2 linked regions of the Styela clava genome follow. The protein of the gene in region 1 purifies or fractionates together with the protein of each later gene. This does not show direct contact. Links are inferred from orthologs where the notes say so. Each region holds a gene or a part of one and is shown in the gene's direction. Other genes may lie near its edges. The genes, in order: synaptosomal-associated protein 29-like and alpha-soluble NSF attachment protein-like.

Region 1 (11,377 bases):
AAATCCCATCTTAGCATTTCTGCCTCTCGCAATTGCTGCGTATACTTATCGGGGAAGTTCTGTGGCGTGGTTATCAAATGAAAAAACAAACATGGGAGTATTTTTTCTACTTCTCTACTACTATCAAACCTTGACATTTTGTGAAAACTTTTTTCCATGCAACCTTTTTTAAAACATCCCCAACAACCACAATTACTTCTGTTATTAAACTTCCGAAACAAACACATAAAATCATCAACAGATGAATATCACCAAGTAGATATTGCTGAATTGATCTTTATTTTACCATTTTGCATGTAATTCTTTTTGGTAAACCTGTTATCTGTCGTAAATACAGCACATTTGACAATGTTGTAGTGTGACTATTTTAGCCTTTAAATGAGGCGGGGTTAAAATTCGAAATTTCCGAATCAATCTCCGTGATTACATGCTTGTCTTACACTTGCACAGTGTGTCCCACATTCGAGACGATTGTCTTTCTTCCCGAACATTAAAAAAGTTGACTTTTCAGCGTATAACGATTTATCTGTCTAGTAAAATTTAGTTGTGTTCAACGTAACTCGAAATTGTATCGATTGACGGCAAAATGAAGTTATGGACAAAGGAAACTACACGGACAACGTGAACTTAAAATCAATATGTCCGCTTCTGCTTGTTTAAAGACTTGCTTGGAGTGATATCGTATACCGCCCTATTAGTAGATAGTAGCACATTACATAATCTATCGCTGGGCATAAAATAACAAATCTTTATGTGTGTGGTATCCAACTTCAACCATTGCGTGAATTAATATGTTCTTTCTGCTTGTCTAAAGCCTTACATAGAGTACTATCGTAAAACGCCCTAATAATAACTAACAGCACAATGCATAACCTGTTGCTGGATATAAAATACCAAATCTTTAGATGTGTGTGATCGTGAGGTGGCGGGCCTCATTGAGTTTGTTAACATAATCGCCGACGCCATTGAGGGTGATCAGCTCTATTTCGTTATTGTGACGTCGCAGTGGCGTAATTTTTGGATGACGAAGTCAGGTGAGGGTCAGGAATATTATATACAAAAATTGTTACGCTAAGCCTAATAGAAGTTATTGAGGTAAGAAACTACACCCATAGCGGACACACAGGCGTATTTATCACGATTGCATTATGGTCGCTATTATTAGGCAAGCTCTATTTCGTTATTGTGAATTCGCATTGACGTTATTTTTTGATGACGAAGTCAGGGCAGGGTCAGGAATATTATATGCAAAAATTGTTACGCTAAGTTAACTAGAAGTTATTGAGGTAAGAAACTACATCCATAGGTGTCATTACTAGTAATCGTCGCTATTATTGGGCAAGCGTTATTTCGTGATTGTGACGTTCCAGTGACGTAATTTTTGGATGACGAAGTCAGGTGAGGGTCAGGAATGATATATGCAAAAATTGTTACGCTAAGTTAACTAGAAGTTATTGAGGTAAGAAACTACACCCATAGCGGACAGACAGGCGTATTTAACACAATTGCATTATGGTCGCTATTATTAGGCAAGCTCTATTTCGTTATTGTGAAGTCGCATTGACGTAATTTTTGGATGATGAAGTCAGGTGAGGGTCAGAAATTTTATATGCAAAAATTGTTACGCTAAGATAATTAAAAGTTATTGAAGTAAGAAACTACATCCATAGGTGGCATTACCAGTAATCGTCGCTATTATTAGGCAAGCTCTATTTCGTTATTGTGACGTCGTATTGACGTAATTTTTTGATGATTAAATCAGGTGAGGGTCAGGAATATTACGTGCAAAAATTGTTACGCTAAGTTAACTAGAAGTTATTGAGGTACGAAACTACACCCATACCGGACACACAGGCGTATTTATCACGATTGCATTATGGTCGCTATTATTAGGCAAGCTCTATTTCGTTATTGTGAGTTCGCATTGACGTAATTTTTGGATGACGAAGTCAGGGCAGGGTCAGGAATATTATATGCAAAAATTGTTACGCTAAGTTAACTAGAAGTTATTGAGGTAAGAAACTACATCCATAGGTGTCATTACTAGTAATCGTCGCTATTATTGGGCAAGCGTTATTTCGTGATTGTGACGTTCCAGTGACGTAATTTTTGGATGACGAAGTCAGGTGAGGGTCAGGAATGATATATGCAAAAATTGTTACGCTAAGTTAACTAGAAGTTATTGAGGTAAGAAACTACACCCATAGCGGACACACAGGCGTATTTATCACGATTGCATTATGGTCGCTATTATCAGGCAAGCTCTATTTTGTTATTGTGAATTCGCATTGACGTAATTTTTGGATGACGAAGTCAGGTGAGGGTCAGGAATGATATATGCAAAAATTGTTACGCTAAGTTAACTAGAAGTTATTGAGGTAAGAAACTACATCCATAGGTGTCATTACTAGTAATCGTCGCTTTTATTGGGCAAGCGTTATTTCGTGATTGTGACGTTCCAGTGACGTAATTTTTGGATGACGAAGTCAGGTGAGGGTCAGGAATGATATATGCAAAAATTGTTACGCTAAGTTAACTAGAAGTTATGTAGGTAGGAAACTACATCCATAGGTGCCATTACGAATAACGTCGCTATTATTGGGCAAGCTCTATTTCGTTATTGTGGCGTTGCAGTGACGTAATTATTGGATGACGAAGTCGGGTGAGGGTCAGGAATCTTATATACCAAAATTGTTACGCTAAGCCTAATAGAAGTTATTGAGGTACGAAACTACACCCATAGCGGACACACAGGCGTATTTATCACGATTGCATTATGGTCGCTATTATTAGGCAAGCTCTATTTCGTTATTGTGAGTTCGCATTGACGTAATTTTTGGATGACGAAGTCAGGGCAGGGTCAGGAATATTATATGCAAAAATTGTTACGCTAAGTTAACTAGAAGTTATTGAGGTAAGAAACTACATCCATAGGTGTCATTACTAGTAATCGTCGCTATTATTGGGCAAGCGTTATTTCGTGATTGTGACGTTCCAGTGACGTAATTTTTGGATGACGAAGTCAGGTGAGGGTCAGGAATGATATATGCAAAAATTGTTACGCTAAGTTAACTAGAAGTTATTGAGGTAAGAAACTACACCCATAGCGGACACACAGGCGTATTTATCACGATTGCATTATGGTCGCTATTATCAGGCAAGCTCTATTTTGTTATTGTGAATTCGCATTGACGTAATTTTTGGATGACGAAGTCAGGTGAGGGTCAGGAATGATATATGCAAAAATTGTTACGCTAAGTTAACTAGAAGTTATTGAGGTAAGAAACTACATCCATAGGTGTCATTACTAGTAATCGTCGCTTTTATTGGGCAAGCGTTATTTCGTGATTGTGACGTTCCAGTGACGTAATTTTTGGATGACGAAGTCAGGTGAGGGTCAGGAATGATATATGCAAAAATTGTTACGCTAAGTTAACTAGAAGTTATGTAGGTAGGAAACTACATCCATAGGTGCCATTACGAATAACGTCGCTATTATTGGGCAAGCTCTATTTCGTTATTGTGGCGTTGCAGTGACGTAATTATTGGATGACGAAGTCGGGTGAGGGTCAGGAATCTTATATACCAAAATTGTTACGCTAAGCCTAATAGAAGTTATTGAGGTACGAAACTACACCCATAGCGGACACACAGGCGTATTTATCACGATTGCATTATGGTCGCTATTATTAGGCAAGCTCTATTTCGTTATTGTGAGTTCGCATTGACGTAATTTTTGGATGACGAAGTCAGGGCAGGGTCAGGAATATTATATGCAAAAATAGTTACGCTAAGTTAACTAGAAGTTATTGAGGTAAGAAACTACATCCATAGGTGTCATTACTAGTAATCGTCGCTATTATTGGGCAAGCGTTATTTCGTGATTGTGACGTTCCAGTGACGTAATTTTTGGATGACGAAGTCAGGTGAGGGTCAGGAATGATATATGCAAAAATTGTTACGCTAAGTTAACTAGAAGTTATTGAGGTAAGAAACTACACCCATAGCGGACAGACAGGCGTATTTAACACAATTGCATTATGGTCGCTATTATTAGGCAAGCTCTATTTCGTTATTGTGAAGTCGCATTGACGTAATTTTTGGATGATGAAGTCAGGTGAGGGTCAGAAATTTTATATGCAAAAATTGTTACGCTAAGATAATTAAAAGTTATTGAAGTAAGAAACTACATCCATAGGTGGCATTACCAGTAATCGTCGCTATTATTAGGCAAGCTCTATTTCGTTATTGTGACGTCGTATTGACGTAATTTTTTGATGATCAAATCAGGTGAGGGTCAGGAATATTACGTGCAAAAATTGTTACGCTAAGTTAACTAGAAGTTATTGAGGTACGAAACTACACCCATACCGGACACACAGGCGTAATTATCACGATTGCATTATGGTCGCTATTATTGGGCAAGCTCGATTTCGTTATTGTGACATCGCATTGACGTAATTTTGGGATGACGAAGTCAGGTGAGGGTCAGGAATGATATATGCAAAAATTGTTACGCTAAGATAAGTATAAGTTATCGAGGTAAGAAACTACATCCATTGCGCTAAAGCAAATTAATATGTCGGTTTCTGCTTGTCTAAAGCCTTGCATAGAGTGAAAGCGTTCCACGTCCTATTAATAAAATGTGGCCCAATACATGATCAGTCTCTGGATATTAAATAACAAGTCTTTATGTGTGTGGTACCCAACTTCAACCATTGCGTAAAATAACATGTATTTTCTGCTTGTCTAAAGCCTTGGTTAGAGTTGTATCGTATAACGCTCTATTTTAGATTGTAGCACGATACATGAGCTATTGCTGGACAGAAATTGGTCAGAATGGGATATCGTGAACGTTCCTTGGCGACAATTTAGTCGCTTGTGATTCTTGTTTATTTTGAGCTCTGTACAACGACCCCGATAAGAGAGAGGTCGCTGACGTATTGAGTTTGTTGACATACTCGTAGGCGCCATTACGGGTGACCGTCGCTATACTTTGGCAAGCTGTATTTCGTTATTGTGACGTCGCAGTGACGTAATTTTTGGATGACGTCATCAGGTGGGGGTCAGGAATCATATATCCAAAAATTGTTACGCCACGCCCACTAGAAGTTATTCAGGTAAGAAAGTACATGAGACCCGGATCGGACAGGTTTGATGCAAGTTGCAGAGTTGTGCTGGAACCACAGTGACTACGGCTGTAGTCACTTTGCTGCTTTGGCTAGAACCAGTGTGTTTTAGGTATTTCTGTTTTTGCAATGGCTGAGACTGAATGTGTGATTTAAATATTTTTTACTCAGATTCTTGCCAGTTTTCCCTATCTTTTGTGTGTTCATGGTTATATTTTGGTGTATGTGTACATTTTTCTAGTGGGATAAAAGTAAACTTATTGTTATAATAATAAGTATAACTTTATTTCGACTCTGTAATCATCATACAGTCATAACAGACAATAAAATGATTGATAAAAACATAAAGAGGTGAGAGGAATGATATGTTCACTCACCCAAAAATACAGAAATATGAAATTAATTCACATACATACCTATACCTGTATTCGGATATTATACAACTCTATACGACTGACCTGGCTTATTTCGGTATTTCAAAGATTTCTTTCAAAAGAAACATTGGTCCTATAAAAAATCACTTCAGCCCATTTTCAGATTTTTGATAAAATTGCTAAATTACAGAATTACGGGACTTATATTCTTTGTCTTCATTTACAGATAAATTTCTGACTTTAGTAAGGTAGGGTAATATTATATATTTTGACGAACGTATTTGTAAGCTAACTGTATCACAAAACAAGACTATATCTCTGGAAAACTGCTATACTCGGACTACTAATTTTATTTTATGAAAATTTTGCAAAATGTCTGGAAATCCATGGTTGGATGACGTGGAGTCGTCGTCACGTCCGCCAAATCGATGGGCAGATGATGACGAAGAAGATTTTGATCCAGATAAAAACTATCTTGAACAAGTTGTCAAACGTAAAGAAGTTGATATGGTTGCAAGCACCCAAAGATCATTAGGAATGATTTATGAATCTGAGCAAGTGGGAGCAGCTACTGGGGAGGTAAATATACATATAAAATAAATGTACAACCTAATTTCCTATTACATGTTTCCCTAATTCTCTAAAGTCAAGCCGAGTCATGGTCTCATGTCGAGTCGATCACTGAGTTAAGACTCGCCTGGCGATTATTTAGAGTACGACTCTGGGTCACTTTCGAGTATTCAATGAATGAGGACTCAAGTTTAGTCAATGTCCTAAGTCTCCCAAGCACTGTTTATCATCATGTTAGTTTGTAATGAATAGTCCTCCATATTTATTGCTCAGGTGCTTTGATGTATTGATAGACCTTTGGAATAGCCTTAGATCATTGTAAGCGTGGCCTATAAGGTACACAAGTGGAGAGTTTCAACTTCCAGTAGTAGGGACATCCTTAAACATTCAGTCCTGACAGTGGAGTATTATTCAATTTTTCCGTGTCCAGATGTCTTATTATCATTAACTTTATATTACAGGAGCTCATAAGGCAAGGCGAAGCTTTAAAACGCACTGAACAACGGGTTGACCGAATGGAACAAGATTTAAAAGAAAGCGATCGACATATCGCCAGTATAAAAAGTTTATGGGGAGCTTTTGTCAATAAATTCAGGAAGGAACCTGCACCAACTCCAGTCACAACATATGATGATTCACAACCAGACTCACGGTTAGTTTTAGTCAAATATGGCCCACCTTGGTATATGACTAAGTAAAACAGATTGATTTCATAGAAGTTTTTTTCGTGTGATACAGGATACTAAAATATAAAGCTCTCGATAACATGTTATTAAAAGATTGGCATTGATATTCAAATTTCTTTCTTTAATAAAATTCTAGGAACAGCAGTTCAGTTTTCATAGTGTTTTTGTGCAGTGCAGGAGTGATGGTATATAATGCTGGAAATATCATTCGTGATCAACTTTTCTTTTTAGCGATTGAGTGAGACATATATTTTTATTGGCATAGTCAATGCTATTTCAAGGGTGTTAATGACCATTTTTGAATGTTCAAAATTGATTTATTTATACATCGTATAATTTGTCCTACTTTGCAATTCTGATGCATAAGTATCAAATTATAAATATCTGAATTTTTTTTAAATGGCTTTAAATTGGTTTTTATCGAGGTAAATCCAATAGATAATTTAATTGGACTCCTGTTAGTCTAGAATGTAATTGGTTTTGAGCATATTTATTATTAACAGGGATTTATGATTAGGATTAGTCTTCATTAGGAAGTGAAATCTTAGTTTAATTTACTGAAATTATTTATTATGATTATAATTCAATCATCATATTGATAGTTTCAGTTTCAATAGTTATATAATGTTAATTATAATTTGATGTAGTGTGTGCTTGTAGCATAACTTATTCTTGCTTGGCCTACGTATATGGCCTATATATATTGTTGGGTTCCATTACATTTGAACCCACGTACATTTGAACCCATGACAATTGCACCTGTATGCTATTGCACCTATGGAATTTTTTTGTTTTTCGGATAGTTGAACCCACACTAACCCTAACCCGTGGATATACACATGGGTTCAAATGTACGTGGGTTCAAATGTTTGGTCACCATATTGTTGGTGTTATTTTCTATAATGAGTTGGTGTTGTGATCATGAATGCTATGTTTCACCGTGTAGAAAGTTTAGACAAGTTATATCAATAGTTGACCTTTGAATCATCATATGATTCATTTCCCCCTTTTGGAACAGAGTAAAGTTATTGTACGAAGTGACCTTTACAATAAGCTGTTTCACATGGCTATTTTAGCTGACTGAGAGTCATTGATGTGAAATGAGGACATGTGAAACAAAATTGTTTTGCTGTCAAACCCTATTCTCTTGCCAAACATAGCCATATATGAACCATTAGACTTCCATGTATAATTCCTAAATTATTTCTAAATAATGTTGAATGTAAAAGGATATCGGAAATATTCACATTCCATTCCAAACTTTGAGCCATTTGAAAAAGACTGCTTGACAAAAAATTTGTCTCTGGCACCAGAAAGATAATTTAGACTCCAGCTCTTCTCTCTAAGAAAATCATATTTCTAATGAACACAAATGTTGTTACTGTAGTTGGAGAAATCTGTGGACGAAAAGCAGCTATCATAGCAAAATCTCCCTAACTAGGTTTTCAAATTTAAATCTTCTTTTCCAGGTTAGGAAAGGCCGTCGTGAATTCCAAAGTATCTGGATATCAACCTGAAGAAGATCATCCAGTATTGTTAAGACAAGATGATTCCAGGGAAAGATATGGAGCAGGATATAGCCAACAACAAGCTAAGAATGAGAGAATGGCACAAGTCGATGATAACTTGGGTTTGTCTCGAATTTATTGCTGCCTATTTATGTCTGTTAATAAGATTCAAATATAGTATGATTTTGTTTGCTCAAGTCCATGCATCTGAAATAAATAAATGCTTAACTAACTCCATACCTGGATTGATACCCAGACGAAGTCCGCCATATGATTATGCAGTCTTATCGTCTTTCCCTGCCCCGATGATAATCAAAGTAATAGGAAGTGATAGGACTTCCATATGACTGATGTCAGGTATATAGTTTGGGTATGGAGAATGGGACATATTATTACTGAATATTACGATGTAGCGAATATAAATACCATACATCGTGAAATTTATGATTACACAGCAAAAAAACTTAGTATTAGAGGTTGAGGCTAACCTTTGTCTGAGTACTTACTGAGTACTATTGGGAAAAAGTCTGTGAAAAAGTAATATTCCTATTATCAAAGCTACTATCAGAAATTTTTGTTAAACAACACTACAGCTCCCTAAACCTGAGTGGCGTGTTAAGTCAGATCAGGGATTATCTGATTAATTAATGAGTCTGGGTGGTCGTCTCATTTTATGACTCAAGTCACTCATGAGTTTTAACGATAAATGGTGACACGAATGCAACCTGACTCAAGTCTTATTAACACTGGTAAACACCAAATATCCTTGTTATCTCTATTTCAGATCAAATTTCTTCGGGATTACGAAGGCTCAAAGATCTTGGAATTGGTTTAGGAGAAGAAATTGAATCACAGGATAGGATTTTGACAAGGCTTGGTGATAAGGTCGAAAGAGTCGATAATAAGACACACATTACTAGCAAGCAGTTAATGAAATTGAATCATTCATAGGCTTTAAAATATGTTGCTATTTTTGTCCATATATTATTGTAGTATTTTTCATAGATGTGATTCCTAAAAAAAGTAGAAGCGGCTGAGCATTAATGAATAATTTGTAAAAATAATGATGAAATTCAACATATTGCTTCTTGAATTGAATAGCGGTTTTCTGATCCACTGGATGCATGTCTCAGTTTATTTGTGTATTCCTTGAGTTTGTTTTTAGCGAGATTTTTCTAGTAGGGATGGCCAAAATCAAATACATCCGGAAACGTTTTTGAATAAGAAGAATATTTCAAAAATAGCTCGTGAATTTCAGTCGTAATGCAGGATGTTTATTCATATTCTCTTTCCCAAAAGTTTATTTTTGTCTGATGATAAACCTTAAAATACCCAATCAAGATCTGACTTTATCATTCTGCGCATCACTCACTATACTTCACCTTTCTATAAATAGTAGAACATAGTAATTAGAAATTCGAGACTAATTTTTATTATTGAAGCATAAGGCCCATTGACGCTCCTAATATTTAAAAACAACCTTATGGTTCCTTGTATTATTTTTTGTATATAGTTTTTCACACTGATGTAAAAGATATGAAGTGTGGCATATTATTAAAGCTTATTATAACCATTTTCTTTCTATTATAAACCTTGGAAAGGATGTTCACTGTATAGAATACCTACAGTGTAGGTGTGAAATTGATGATCTTCCATTTAAGGTTCTAATAAAGCCTAGTTTAAGCCAATATTTATTAGAAATCCTTGCCAATAAACCTGCCCCCAATAGTGCTGTGATCTGTGCAAGGTTCCAATAGTAACAGATTTGTATCCTTTACTTTGCTAAAATATGTGATGACTGAGTATATAGTCTTTAAGTCTTATGTGATCGGCGGGATTATTATAGTTATAAGTATGTTATAGACTTCTATGGGTCAATCAAGAATTATATTCAGATGTTAATATAAGATTTGTTTGCTATTCTTCTGAGATGCCTTCTTAATAATAACTAGTTTTGGACTCGAGGACTGCCAGAGGCGTTTAGAAATTTCTGTTCACTGGGTCTGGCCGGAAATTGTGGCTCTTCAAGGGTCTAGTTGTGGCTACGAAAAATAGCTATTTTTGCATTTCAAAAGCGGGGGATCCAACACCTCAATAGCTGTTCCCTGCTTTCTATACTAGACTGAAGATATTGCGTATAATATATGGACTGGCTTATATTATAAGGTTTAGTAAACTATTTATTGAAATAGTTTATAATGAACATGTAAATTTATGCAATGGAATACGAACGTGCATCTGGCTGGGGATTTTTGAAGTCTAAACCTTGTACACAAATAACTCCACAATGTGTGCAATGCTAATGTATTTCATGCCTTTTCCTCAAATAAAGATACAATTATGATAGAGTTTCTTGCTTCTTTTAGACACCACCATCTTCCCAGTCTGTGTTCTTGTCCCACACCTATAAAAAGCTTATTCCCAGTCGGTGAAAATTGTAAACTGTTCACAAATCCAACAACTGGTATATCAAAAAGGTGTTCAATGGTTAAAAATTTGGGTCCGCATTTCCAGATTTTTACTGCTCCGTTAGACGAGCCAGTTGCCACTAAATCAGAGTTTATTAAAGCTGTGACGGCAGTTATCCAAGGGCTTTTACTACTCGAATCCGGATGTGCATTTTTTACACAAGTAGTCGGCTTCTTTTTCATTACACTCCATAGACAAATTGACCCATCATCCGCTCCAGAGATGAAATATTCTTCGTTGATAAGTTTTAGGCAGTCTATGGATCCATTGTGACCGTGATAGACAAGTTGCGATTCTTCAGCTATTTTCCAAATTCGTATTGATCCATCCCGTCCACCAGCTGTGGCACATCTCTCCCTGGACAGGCTGTCACATGCTTGGACCAGGTCCTGATGTCCGAATAACGTCTCTACATAACCCATCGCATCAAGGTCCCAGACCTTAACACAGCGATCAAACGAACTTGAAAAAAGTTGGTGTGAATTCAATCGAAAAGCAACACCGCTTACGGCACCTCGATGGCCTTGAAAATGATGCAGGTGTTCCATTGTTTCCGCCTTCCACACATGTATCATTTTATCCATGCTACCAGAAACCAAAAATTCACCATCAGTTGAAATTGCAAGGCATAAAATATGGGC
Region 2 (10,998 bases), on another chromosome or scaffold:
ATATCGTTGTTTGTGACATATTATTCTAGGTCTAGCCTTCCTTGGAGTTACCGCACCGTACCGGTACCTATTTAACAACGTCTTATGAGCTAGTGCTCAACTAAAATTGCTATTTATGGCAAGGATATACAAGTGTTTAATATCTTACCTATACTTTTCAACACCTCCTTAGAATAACTGGACTAATATTACCGGTAACTGAAAAAAACTATGGAAAGGCTACTCAACGCAAAAGCGAGCAGTTGAGTACATCTGATATTCATCCGACCACTGGGGATCCACCTACAGCTGACTAACTTGACTGTTACGTCGTGCAGAAGTCTGCGTTCATTGGCCCATGATACCGGAAAAGCAGAGAAAATAGGACAGATGGTAACACATATTTATTGTAGTAAAAGCGTCTTTTCTGTAAAACGTGCAACTTTTGTAAGTGGGAACAAGGCAATATTTGTTACTAAATTTCTAAGGAACATTTTAAAATCATTTTCAGGTAGTTACCTGATGTGCGCTACGAAACTGAAAGATAAATGTCCTCGGCTCGCGGCCTAGTCGCTCGATGATTTTCGAAGCAATAATCTGTCAGAACCAAGTCGTGCGTGGCGGCGAATCCAACATCGGGACCAAATTTCCGGAGTTGCACGGGGTTGCCCTAACCAACGACTAAGGGCCACTGAGGTGTATATACAACTCAATGCCAAGGACTAACCGGTATGTCAGTCGTTGGGACTAACAGAGAAACCATGTGTCATCTATAGCAGTGCTCTTCAACCGGGTATACTGTATACCTAAGTGTATACCAGACCATAAGTAGGGTATACAATAGGGTTGCCATACCGTCCGGAAAATTCCGGACATGTCCGGAATTTAGGGTTAAATTTTGCGTCCGGGAGGAATTTAAAAAAATGCTCAAATGTCCGGAATTTTACTGCATCTGCAATCGTAATGTGCACACCGCTAATACAGAACATTGTTATTTCGTACCGTGCGCATATTTTTACTACGAGGTTGTATGAAATTGTAATATAACAGAGCGTTTTCCTTATCAATGGTGTTAAAGTTGCAAACTTTGCAAATGCTTTTAGTACTTGTGCAAATGGATAAAACCAATGGAAGAGTTTACTTATTTCAAATGGATAACCTTGAACGAGATACCAAGTTGGAAGGATGTAAAGCAGGGGTTGGCAACCTACGGCCCGCAGGCCGGATCCGGTCCGCGGAGCAATATAATCCGGCCCGCGACGCTTCACTGGATTATAGTAACAAAACAGCTGTTTTAACGATTATATTCTTTACATAACAGAATTAATTTTGCGACACGCGTAGGCTAAATTATGTTATAACCTTATAGCAACTTACCCCCAAATGTACCCCATTTCATGTTAAAAATATGAAAACAAAGTTAATTTCTCTCAAAATTCGAACAAAGACTTTCGTAGGAATCAAATTACACCAGGTTTAAGAACATAACAAGTTCCACCCAGTCATTATCAAATTAAAATCTATATTCTCAAGACCTTTGGCACTGATTGAAATAATTATATCTAAGTTCCCATCCGTACGATGTACATAATTACCCTTGTTGAGATAATAGGAATTTCTGTTTATAACGTGAATCACGAGCTCACGTTTACAGCATTTAATTGGATTTATGATCAACGTATAAATATGACTCCGATATCTTTCGATAAGGAGATGGAAAAGAGGGAAGACGATGTAAATTGTAAACCATTCAAAGCTAGTGTGGATAAATGTTATAAGATTTATATTCTGTGTATCGTGGAAATCTGAGAATAAAATCAAACAGAGTTTTCTAAAGTTTCCTTCATTCACGTGGGCGTTGAAGCTGAAGGGTGAACGGGTAACTTGCAAGTCAGAGACAATCTACGAAATAGCAATATACGGTAATATCATATTCATCTAACAATCATTTATGCTATAACCTAACAAGTATATAATTCACAATTGCACGTTTAATGACCCTATAATTTAATTATAATTACTCAAATGGCAACAAAACGCAGAAAAGTTGATGCTTAGCGCAAATGGTTTAATGGTGCAGAAAATATTCCAATGGTCAGTCTTCGTGCACTGCTCTAAATTTAACTTCTAATCTGTGTGAAAAAGTGTGATTCATCGGCTATCCGTTCGGTTTTCAACATTCTAAAAATATGAGGCCCGCCAATGACTTGCAACCTTTGGTTTTGGCCCGCGAGCGACAAAAGGTTGCCGACCCCTGATGTAAAGCCTTGCCTGGAAAATCTGATTAGTAAACGGGTTGATGTGGACGATGATAAATGATTTGACCAATTCTGTAACTTGAAGCAGTTTGTGGAAAGTTACCTACAAGACGAAGAATTTATTAAACTGCCAACGCATGAGAAATGGTGCAAATATTTCGATCAGTCTACGAACATCACATGCCACTCCGAAATTTTAAGGATTGAACAGTTTTCCTTTGCTATTACATCCCACAATGCCAATATTGTAGAGAGAGTCTTTTCACTGATGCAAAGTCAGTGGACTAAAGAGAGAAACAATTTGCGACTATAAAAGGCATGTTGACTCCCCAATATAATTTCAAAGATATGCACTGTAGTGAATTGTTTTCATTTTTGAAATCAGACAAGGAGAGAATGAGGTCTTCAGAAAAATTTGCATGGTCAGGAGAGTAAGTTTGTAGTGATTGTCTTTAATTCGTTTTAAGCATGTAATTGCTGTTCTTCCGTTTTGGCACAATCTAATTCTCATTCTTATTTTTCACTCTGAAGTTGAGATTTTTTCAGTCGACGGCCCGTAGCTATATTTAGAGTGTGCTTACCTGCCTGGTGTGAGATTCTGCTTGTAACTGAAGACAATACTTTTCATTTCGGTAGCTGGCGCTTTAGCATGAGTATCGTACAACGTTAGCATGAGTATCGTACGGCCTTAGCATTTCGGTAGCGCATATATATGGTCTCATGAAAATAGGGACCTCCTGAAAGAAGTATGTGCACCAAGATGGCGATAACATCACATGATGAAAGTTAAACGCCCGTACACAGAACTTGAACGTGTAGTGCTACCTTGTTTAGAAATTGTGGCTGACTTGATTCATGGTGGAACAAAAGCAGTTGACAAGGTCAAAAAAATTGCTGTTTCTGACACTACTGTATGGCGACGATGTGCCGTTATATCCGCAGATTTAAAAGAACAACTAATTCAGAAGTTACTAGAAGCCTCCTCCTTTGGCATTCAGTTGGATGAAAGCACTGATATAAGCAGTGAGTCTCAGCTCATGGTGTTCTGTAGATTTCCGGACATAAAATCTAACAGGATAGTTGAACATTATCTATTTTGTCAACCAGTTGAAGAAAAGGCAACTGCTGAAGCAATTTTCAATAAAATAAACGAGTTCTTTGAAGAAGAAGGGTTAGATTGGTCAAAGTGCAAATCGGTTACAACAGATGGAGCAGCAGCTATGCGAGGCTCACAGAAAGGTTTGATCGAGAGAATTAAGCGAAAGTCTCCAGAATGCATAGGAATTCATTGTATTCTCCACCGCGAGGCATTAGTAACAAAGAAACTTGAACTGAATGCAGGTGACGCTAGTGGTAGGATAGGATTTACATATTTATCCCGGGGGAGAGGAAAGCCGATAAGACGGCTTATCCATATGGCGAACCACGGCCTCTCGTCCGGTTACCATTCCAAGTCGGGTATGGGATTAGTTTTTACTGTATTGTTTGTTTTCGGAAGCATGGACTTGGTGGTGGAGGAAGCCGTAACCGACCAGCGGTTACGTGAACCACCCAACGACGGCGAGGAGTCCAGCAATCCTCTCGCACATAACCATCCCTGCATGGGATTCGAACCTGCGAACCCACGCAGAGTAATTAGAGGTGCGGTGGCGAGCGTATTCCTAACGCTTAGCCCGTTGAGCCACACCGCCGCGCCGGTAAAGAAAATGAATTACACGATGTTCTACGGGAGGTCGTATATTTTGTGAATACGATCAAGAAAAGTTCAAAACAAACGAGACTTTTCTCGAAACTATGCGAGGAAACAGCCGCCACTTCCAAAAAACTTCTTTTACATTCAGAAGTACGGTGGCTGTCCCGAGGAAAAGTTCTTTCTCGTGTGTTTGAACTTCGAGAACAATTAGGGGCGTATTACACTGAACGAGGAGACCAAAAAGCCAACAGGTTTCGTAATATATATTGGATTGCAAAATTAGCGTACATGGCGTCGATTTTTGATCGTTTGAATCAAGTGAACGTCAGTCTTCAAGGGAAGGGAGGTGATATATTTCGATCGACTAGCAAAATCAATGCTCTGAAGATGAAAATTCAACTCTGGAAAAATAATGCTTCTTCGAGAAACTTCATTGACTTTCCCCTGTTAAGTCAATATTTGAAAGAGTCTGGGTGGGAGTTTGAGGACGTTTCAACGATAAATACCATGGTTATGAACGAATTGCCGAAACTATGCAAGAACAAAGAAGCCACTGAAACTACACTAAATTAATTGCGTCTGTCAGTAAAAACTAAAAGAAGCATTTATAATGACTCGCCCCGCCACTTCGATTTTAGTTTTTATACAATCTGTTCCTAACATTTATTGCTCATTTTAGCTTTAAATAAACATTGGTAATTGTAAGGTATACAAAGTTCTCGTAAAATTGTAAAAGGTATACCACGAAAAAAAAGGTTGGAGAACACTGATCTATAGTGTCATGGCAGCGTTAGGAGTGCTCGAAATAAGTAACACTAGAGGGACCAAAAGTGACTCAGTCATCATTATAAAAAGGACGAGCTCGATCAAAATAAACCTGCAGTATTTATTTCAGAGCTGCGGTTCTTTCAGTTCCGAATTTCTATAATTCTTTTTATTCTATAATTCAGATTCAGAACAGAACTTTGTATATTGAAATAGCTTGTTCAACTACAGAACTACCGGTACCGGTAACTTACCTGATAAATAAAATGAACAGTTACAGAATTACGATATATACCGTAACGTTACAGGTACCGGTATCTCTGTATACTACAGGGGTAGTCTACCGTAGTCCGTGTATACTGATACTGTGGTGTATAAGTATAACAGTAACGTATACGGTTATAAGTTTATTTCGACTCCATAATCAGCAATAGACAATTAAAATAATTGATAAAAACAAAATAAATAAAACTGATTATAGAATCGGGAAAGCAAACGAAACCTCAAGTAAGGTTTAAAGCGTACAGATTTTAGCCTAGTTCTGTAGGTGGGAAGTTATCGATAAAATAAGTACGGTACTTTAGTATGGTACCTAGTCTGGTGTTCGCTTACCGGTACCCAAAAGTATTAAAACTAATTAAGGCACGCACACACTGACATACAATCATCAAGACTGAAACATGATAAGATCGGGAGTAAAAAAAGCGAGAAAATAAAATCCAATTAGCCTACTCAGTAAAAAAGAAAAATATAGGGTACATGGTCTGGAAATACCGCCTTGGTTTTGCGGCAGCTGCAGACGCCACAGAATACTTAAAACTGCACTTGATGGAATTAGTCAACAAGAGTTATATAATGTGGATAGAAAAATATTCCTCAAAAGATATCATCAAGCTGATTACTGGTACTGTAAGTTCGTAACATTATATTTGTATATCTGTATTATAGTCTGATAGTATAAGTTAGATTTGTTACAAACATTAATATCGAACTATGGATAAAGAACAAGAGGCCTGCCAGTTGATGGCTGAGGCTGAGAAAAGCCTCAACTCATCAAAGGGATTTTTCTCTAAATTACTAGGATCTGGATCTAAACAAGAAGAAGCATGTGAAAAATTTGTTCGGGCAGCAAATATGTTTAAGGTGAATTTGTATGATATCTTTACATCTCAGCTTGTAGGCTACTGTACATCATTTCTTCTACTATCATTATTCTGATATTAGTTTTTAAAGTCAATAATTTTTGTAACAGTATGCAGTACCGTATGCCACAGTTCTCCGATTCCAAGATATCTTGACATTTTGTTCAATAAAACTTTTACTTGATTTGTCTATGAAACGAGGCCATCTGGCATGACGGCAGCTCAGGAAGGTTTTGACAATATTGGTTGATGTCCCTCCTTCATACCTTTCAATCATGTTTGGTGTCCTATTGGTGCAGTATTTATAGATAGCTTCTATAGCCTCACATGGTTTCACAATGCATGTTTAGTTTTGACTTGATACTGCTTGTGAAAACAAATCTGTGTGTGTGATTTCTATGTGGAATTTTACTCATCATAATAATACAAGAATTAAATTGATCAATTTAATCTGTTGCTTTAAGGAGAATACTTTGAAACATGCAGTAATTTTTTTTGATCTTCGATCCACTTTCAGTATACCTGATATCTTGGAGATCTTCATCCTGTCACAAACTATTTCCAAATAATACACAGCAGAAAATAGGTGTCACTTTATATGCGATCTCAGTAATTTAGTATTATGTTATTATCTGACCCTAAATTAACGGTGACATGGTTAGGTTCAGGAATTGAACTCAATGAAAAATTATGAAATTCGTTGAACGCATACGAAAGTGTCACCACAATTGATCCCACTTTAATATTCGATTGAGATCATGTGTGGCTAGTGAGATCACATACCAAAGTAGTTATTTGATGCTGAGATCGCATACCGAAATAGCATCAGAAAATACTATAAGTAATATCAAAATTTGTGTATCTTATGTTATTGGGTACGTGCATCTCAGCTCAGCTCAATTTTCTTAATTTGCCGATAAAACTGTAGTCTTTCCAATGTAGCATAAAATTATAACATATCTTATAAATCTATAAATTCAATTTGAATATGCATTTCATGCATTAATGACTTTTTACCGTATAGTAATTTCAGATCATAGGTTATCGTCGTTATATATAATTTTTCGTTTGTTCTTTGCTCCAGATGTTGAAAAAATGGAACGAAGCAGGAAATGCATTCTGTAAGTCTGCAGATATTCAACAATCACTACAGAATAAACACGAGTCGGCTTCCAATTTTGTTGATGCTGGGAATTGTTATAAAAAATCAGATGCAGATGCGGCTATCAAATGTTTGACAAGGGTGAGATGAACATATTATTGCTTAGTAGGATTGTACGTTTTTGGTTAGTTTAGTAAAAACTTTATTTTCGCATTAGAATCACAAAAAAATGATTTGTGTTATCTAGTTTTTTTGCAAAGAAATTTGATTTGATCAAAGATCCTGTTATTCTAGTAACAGGTAATAGGATACGAATAGTTTGAATTTTGAAGAATGGGAATTTATAATTTTGCTCATTTCCATTGCCTCCAGTAATTATAGAAGGTTTGTGCATTGGCTCGGCCATTTCCATTCCTTATTACGGTTAATAAATCGAAATATAATTAATTAAACTATGATAGCCAATGTCTTGCATTCATGCAAAACTATGCATAAATTTGTGTATAATGTTTCTATTCTAACTTTTATTTACAAATTGACTATCGCCACATAAAATAAATATACAAATGATTTTATGAAAACATAAAAATAATGTTTAATACAGGCTATTGATATTTATACTGATATGGGGAGATTTACAGTTGCTGCAAAACATCATATATCCGTTGCGGAAATTTATGAAAACGAGACTTCAAAACTTGAAGAAGCCATTTCTCATTATGAGCGAGTAGGTCTATTTTTTCACATATTCTTCTTATACATTTTATTATTTTGTTGTGTAAAATGACCATTCTGATTTTACAATTCGTTTGATGTTATTTCAGAATACAGCACAATGTTATTCACAAAAACTATCACTGATAATAAATAACATGTGAAAATTGGAGGCTGTATAATATTGATATGACTGGTAAATGTGTTTTTTAAAACTTCATGTATAATTTAAAGCCATTGACATAGAGATTTCGACTAATGGGTTCCGATATGGCTTGTATTAGGTTACAGATTTGATTTGATGGGGTAATAAAAATGATAGCACCAACATTATATGCCAGGTGTGAAAGTAAATTGTGAGTTCAAATAAAGTGGGAAGTTGGATGTTATTCGAATTTGTAATCTGAGCATTTATTAGAATTGATCTAGAATTAACTTAACATTGTACACCACTGATCATATACATTTTTGAAGATTCAAGAAAGTATTTTCAAACAACCTTGCAGGCAGCATAAAATGTTTTCTTTTAGGTTGGGCAGGCCTGCTCACTGTATAGTACTTCCACCACAATATTAACCAAAATTTCTGTTTGTATAGGCTGCAGATTTTTATAAGGGCGAAGATTCGACGAGTAGTGCAAATAAGTGCTGGTTGAAGGTGGCGGCCTATGCAGCTCAGCTTGAGCAATATACAAAAGCCATAGAATTATATGAGCGTGTTGGAATGTCATCAATGAATAGTCCGTTGTTAAAATATTCGGTGAAAGAGTACTTCTTCAAATCAGCACTCTGCCATTTTTGTTTGGGTGGAACAATCGATGCAATGTAAGTGATTTACATGTTACTATTGATTTATTGACTTAATAAATTGAGTCTAAATCTCATTAACTTTGAGGAAATATGAACTCACTCACAAGCACCTGAGTCGGGATGATCTGTACGGATTCAGTCTCCGAAAAATCTGTTAAATTGCCTTATCCAACTTACTGAATGCCTTTAGGTAGGATTATCAAAAATTTTATTTATAGAGAAAAATCACCATATTCATGATTATTCACAGTTGAATGAAAGCACTGAGAATTCTAGACGTCGTATTTACAATCGAGATTAAAACTATTAAGTTGGGGGCTGGGGCATTACAGCAGTGCCAAAGGTGACACTACCTTGACTACGGACTCATTCCATACCGTTCCAAATCCCCACGATGACAGTTCATAATTTATTAAGCGTGTCTGGCCATTTACAAATCGGGTATCAGTGAAGTAGGTGACTACCTTATCGTCTGTTTCTATAATGTTGACTTGTATAAAGTGGTTTGTACTATGGTGCAGCAGATGTTGGAATTTGATGTTCAAAATCAGCCATATTTTATTAATTTTATTCAAAGGAAATAGATAAAGCTTAATCATATGAAATGGTGATATTTTCGTACTAAATATCAGATATAAAAGTAACAGCGTTATCAACTCATTATCAGGGAATAAAAGTTTCAACTTTCAATCTTAAATAATCAGACCATTGTTTTTTTGTTAATCATATTTACGTCAATTATGATTATGAGATAATCACTCATTTCCTGACAATTGTTATTGTGAGTCAGAGAACTGTGAAAGCTGAAAAAGTCAGCTGACTATAAATAATTTAGTGTGGGATGCATACTTCAAATCACCTGGGTATCCTTGAATATGAATCATTTTACAAAGTATTTATTCAACTGGGTCTTTTAAAAAATATTGTGAATGAAGAATGAAATTCCTTGTGAGGGTTTACCAGAAGATAAGTCTCGAGCAACAACAGAACAGAAAAGTATATTTTGCTATCATCAAAGTGTTGAGACTTTCACATACTGGTTTATTAACCATGGAAGTGGACTTGTGGGGAAAAAATTCTTTTCTCTCCAGGACTCCAGCTAATGGATCAATCAATTTCAATCTGTAATTCTACTTTACTACTGTATCTATGTATTTGGTGATATAGTATGAGATTTCATAATATCAGCATAAATATATAAATGTGTGTAACTCATGCCTCTGATTACTGTAATATTCCTAATTTTTCTTGTCTTGGCTTCAACTGCTATCAGGTAATGTGGGTAAAAGTTGTTTTGACAGAAAAAAAATTTAGAATAATGATCAGATCTAATGCATTTGCAAAGACTATAAATTTACACCATTTTTACAATTTGATTCAAATTCAGTTCAAGTTTTTAATAGTTATAGATGGAAGTAGTCGAAAGAAAGCTATTACTTCAATTCTTTTTTTTCAAATTTTCTCACAGGTTTTATGAGGCTTGATATTTTATCTGAAAAGAAGACATTTTGTTCTGTATTACTAGTCCACCTTCATATCGTTCTTCTACAGTTCTACCCATGTTTTCGGCAAATACAGTGCTCTCAGTCCTTCCTCCACTGATTCACGATCTTCGTGTCTATGTATATGAGATTTTAGCATTACCCACTTATTATAATTGTGATAAAGATGATACTAAATGTCCAAAAGGCAATAGACTATTCTCAGCAACCTAAATTAGTGTTAGGGAGAAAATTGCTAAATATTGGAAGCAAACTATCAGAAATGTAATCCCTGTTTCGTTGCAATCTAATTAGATTCATCTATTTTATTCATGAGGTTCCAATTTAAATTGCCTGCCTTGCCTTGAAACAAGGGTTCGTGGTTTAGGGTAAATTACATGCGTCACTATCGGTAGGCCTAACTACATAGTCCGCACCATTTTAGTTTTTATTTATGTTAATTACTATTTTGTTCTGTGAGGCTTATTAATTTTATAATTTCTTCTTAAAGGCAATCATTGGAGAAATACGAAGGTCTCTTTCCAGCATTTTCTGACAGTAGAGAATGCCAATTGTTGAAGAGTTTAATCGAGACACATGACAACCAAAATTCTGATGCATTTGCGGAAGCAGTTGCAAAATATGATTCGATATCTCGCATTGACCAGTGGCTGACCACAATCCTTCTACGAATCAAAAAGACAATAGGGAATGATGATGAAGATCTTACATAGCTTTGTTTGACTTTAAACAGTATTTGAGATGAATTCTGGTACAAGTATTTGTTAATACTTAGTCTATTATATATAAATAATAATATTATAACAAGTTTACAGTCAAAACAAGAATCTTTCTCATTAATAATATATCATTGTAAAATATTCTAACTAAGAGGGTTTCTTGCTAAATAATTCAGGGCCCGAAAATTTCACTTCTATAATGAGCTACCAAGCATAAAGATTTCTTCATCAGTTGTTGTAGACTATTTTACTCATCAGGATAAAAATTTATTACGATCACCGGAACCTTGCCCTAATGATTTTTCCTCAAAGAAG

Evidence for each region.
Region 2: the proteins of synaptosomal-associated protein 29-like (region 1) and alpha-soluble NSF attachment protein-like purify together in Drosophila melanogaster (affinity purification with mass spectrometry; 3 studies listed by BioGRID, with this or other methods). This does not show direct contact. The link is inferred for Styela clava from reciprocal best matches to the Drosophila melanogaster genes Snap29 and alphaSnap.

The regions. Positions count from the first base shown.
Region 1 is NC_135264.1:14,194,750-14,206,126, forward strand, and holds synaptosomal-associated protein 29-like, read left to right. Parts: upstream 1-5,728; 5' UTR 5,729-5,875; coding exon 5,876-6,082; intron 6,083-6,534; coding exon 6,535-6,725; intron 6,726-8,228; coding exon 8,229-8,389; intron 8,390-9,051; coding exon 9,052-9,218; 3' UTR 9,219-10,576; downstream 10,577-11,377. Other genes in the region: U3 small nucleolar RNA-interacting protein 2-like, read right to left, coding at 10,577-11,377.
Region 2 is NC_135261.1:11,686,603-11,697,600, forward strand, and holds the start of alpha-soluble NSF attachment protein-like, read left to right. Parts: upstream 1-5,643; 5' UTR 5,644-5,688; coding exon 5,689-5,838; intron 5,839-6,921; coding exon 6,922-7,080; intron 7,081-7,543; coding exon 7,544-7,666; intron 7,667-8,250; coding exon 8,251-8,477; intron 8,478-10,454; coding exon 10,455-10,677; 3' UTR 10,678-10,998. Other genes in the region: zinc finger BED domain-containing protein 5-like, read left to right, coding at 3,017-3,590, 4,079-4,503. UniProt on the Drosophila melanogaster protein: Required for vesicular transport between the endoplasmic reticulum and the Golgi apparatus. Also between the endosome and phagosome.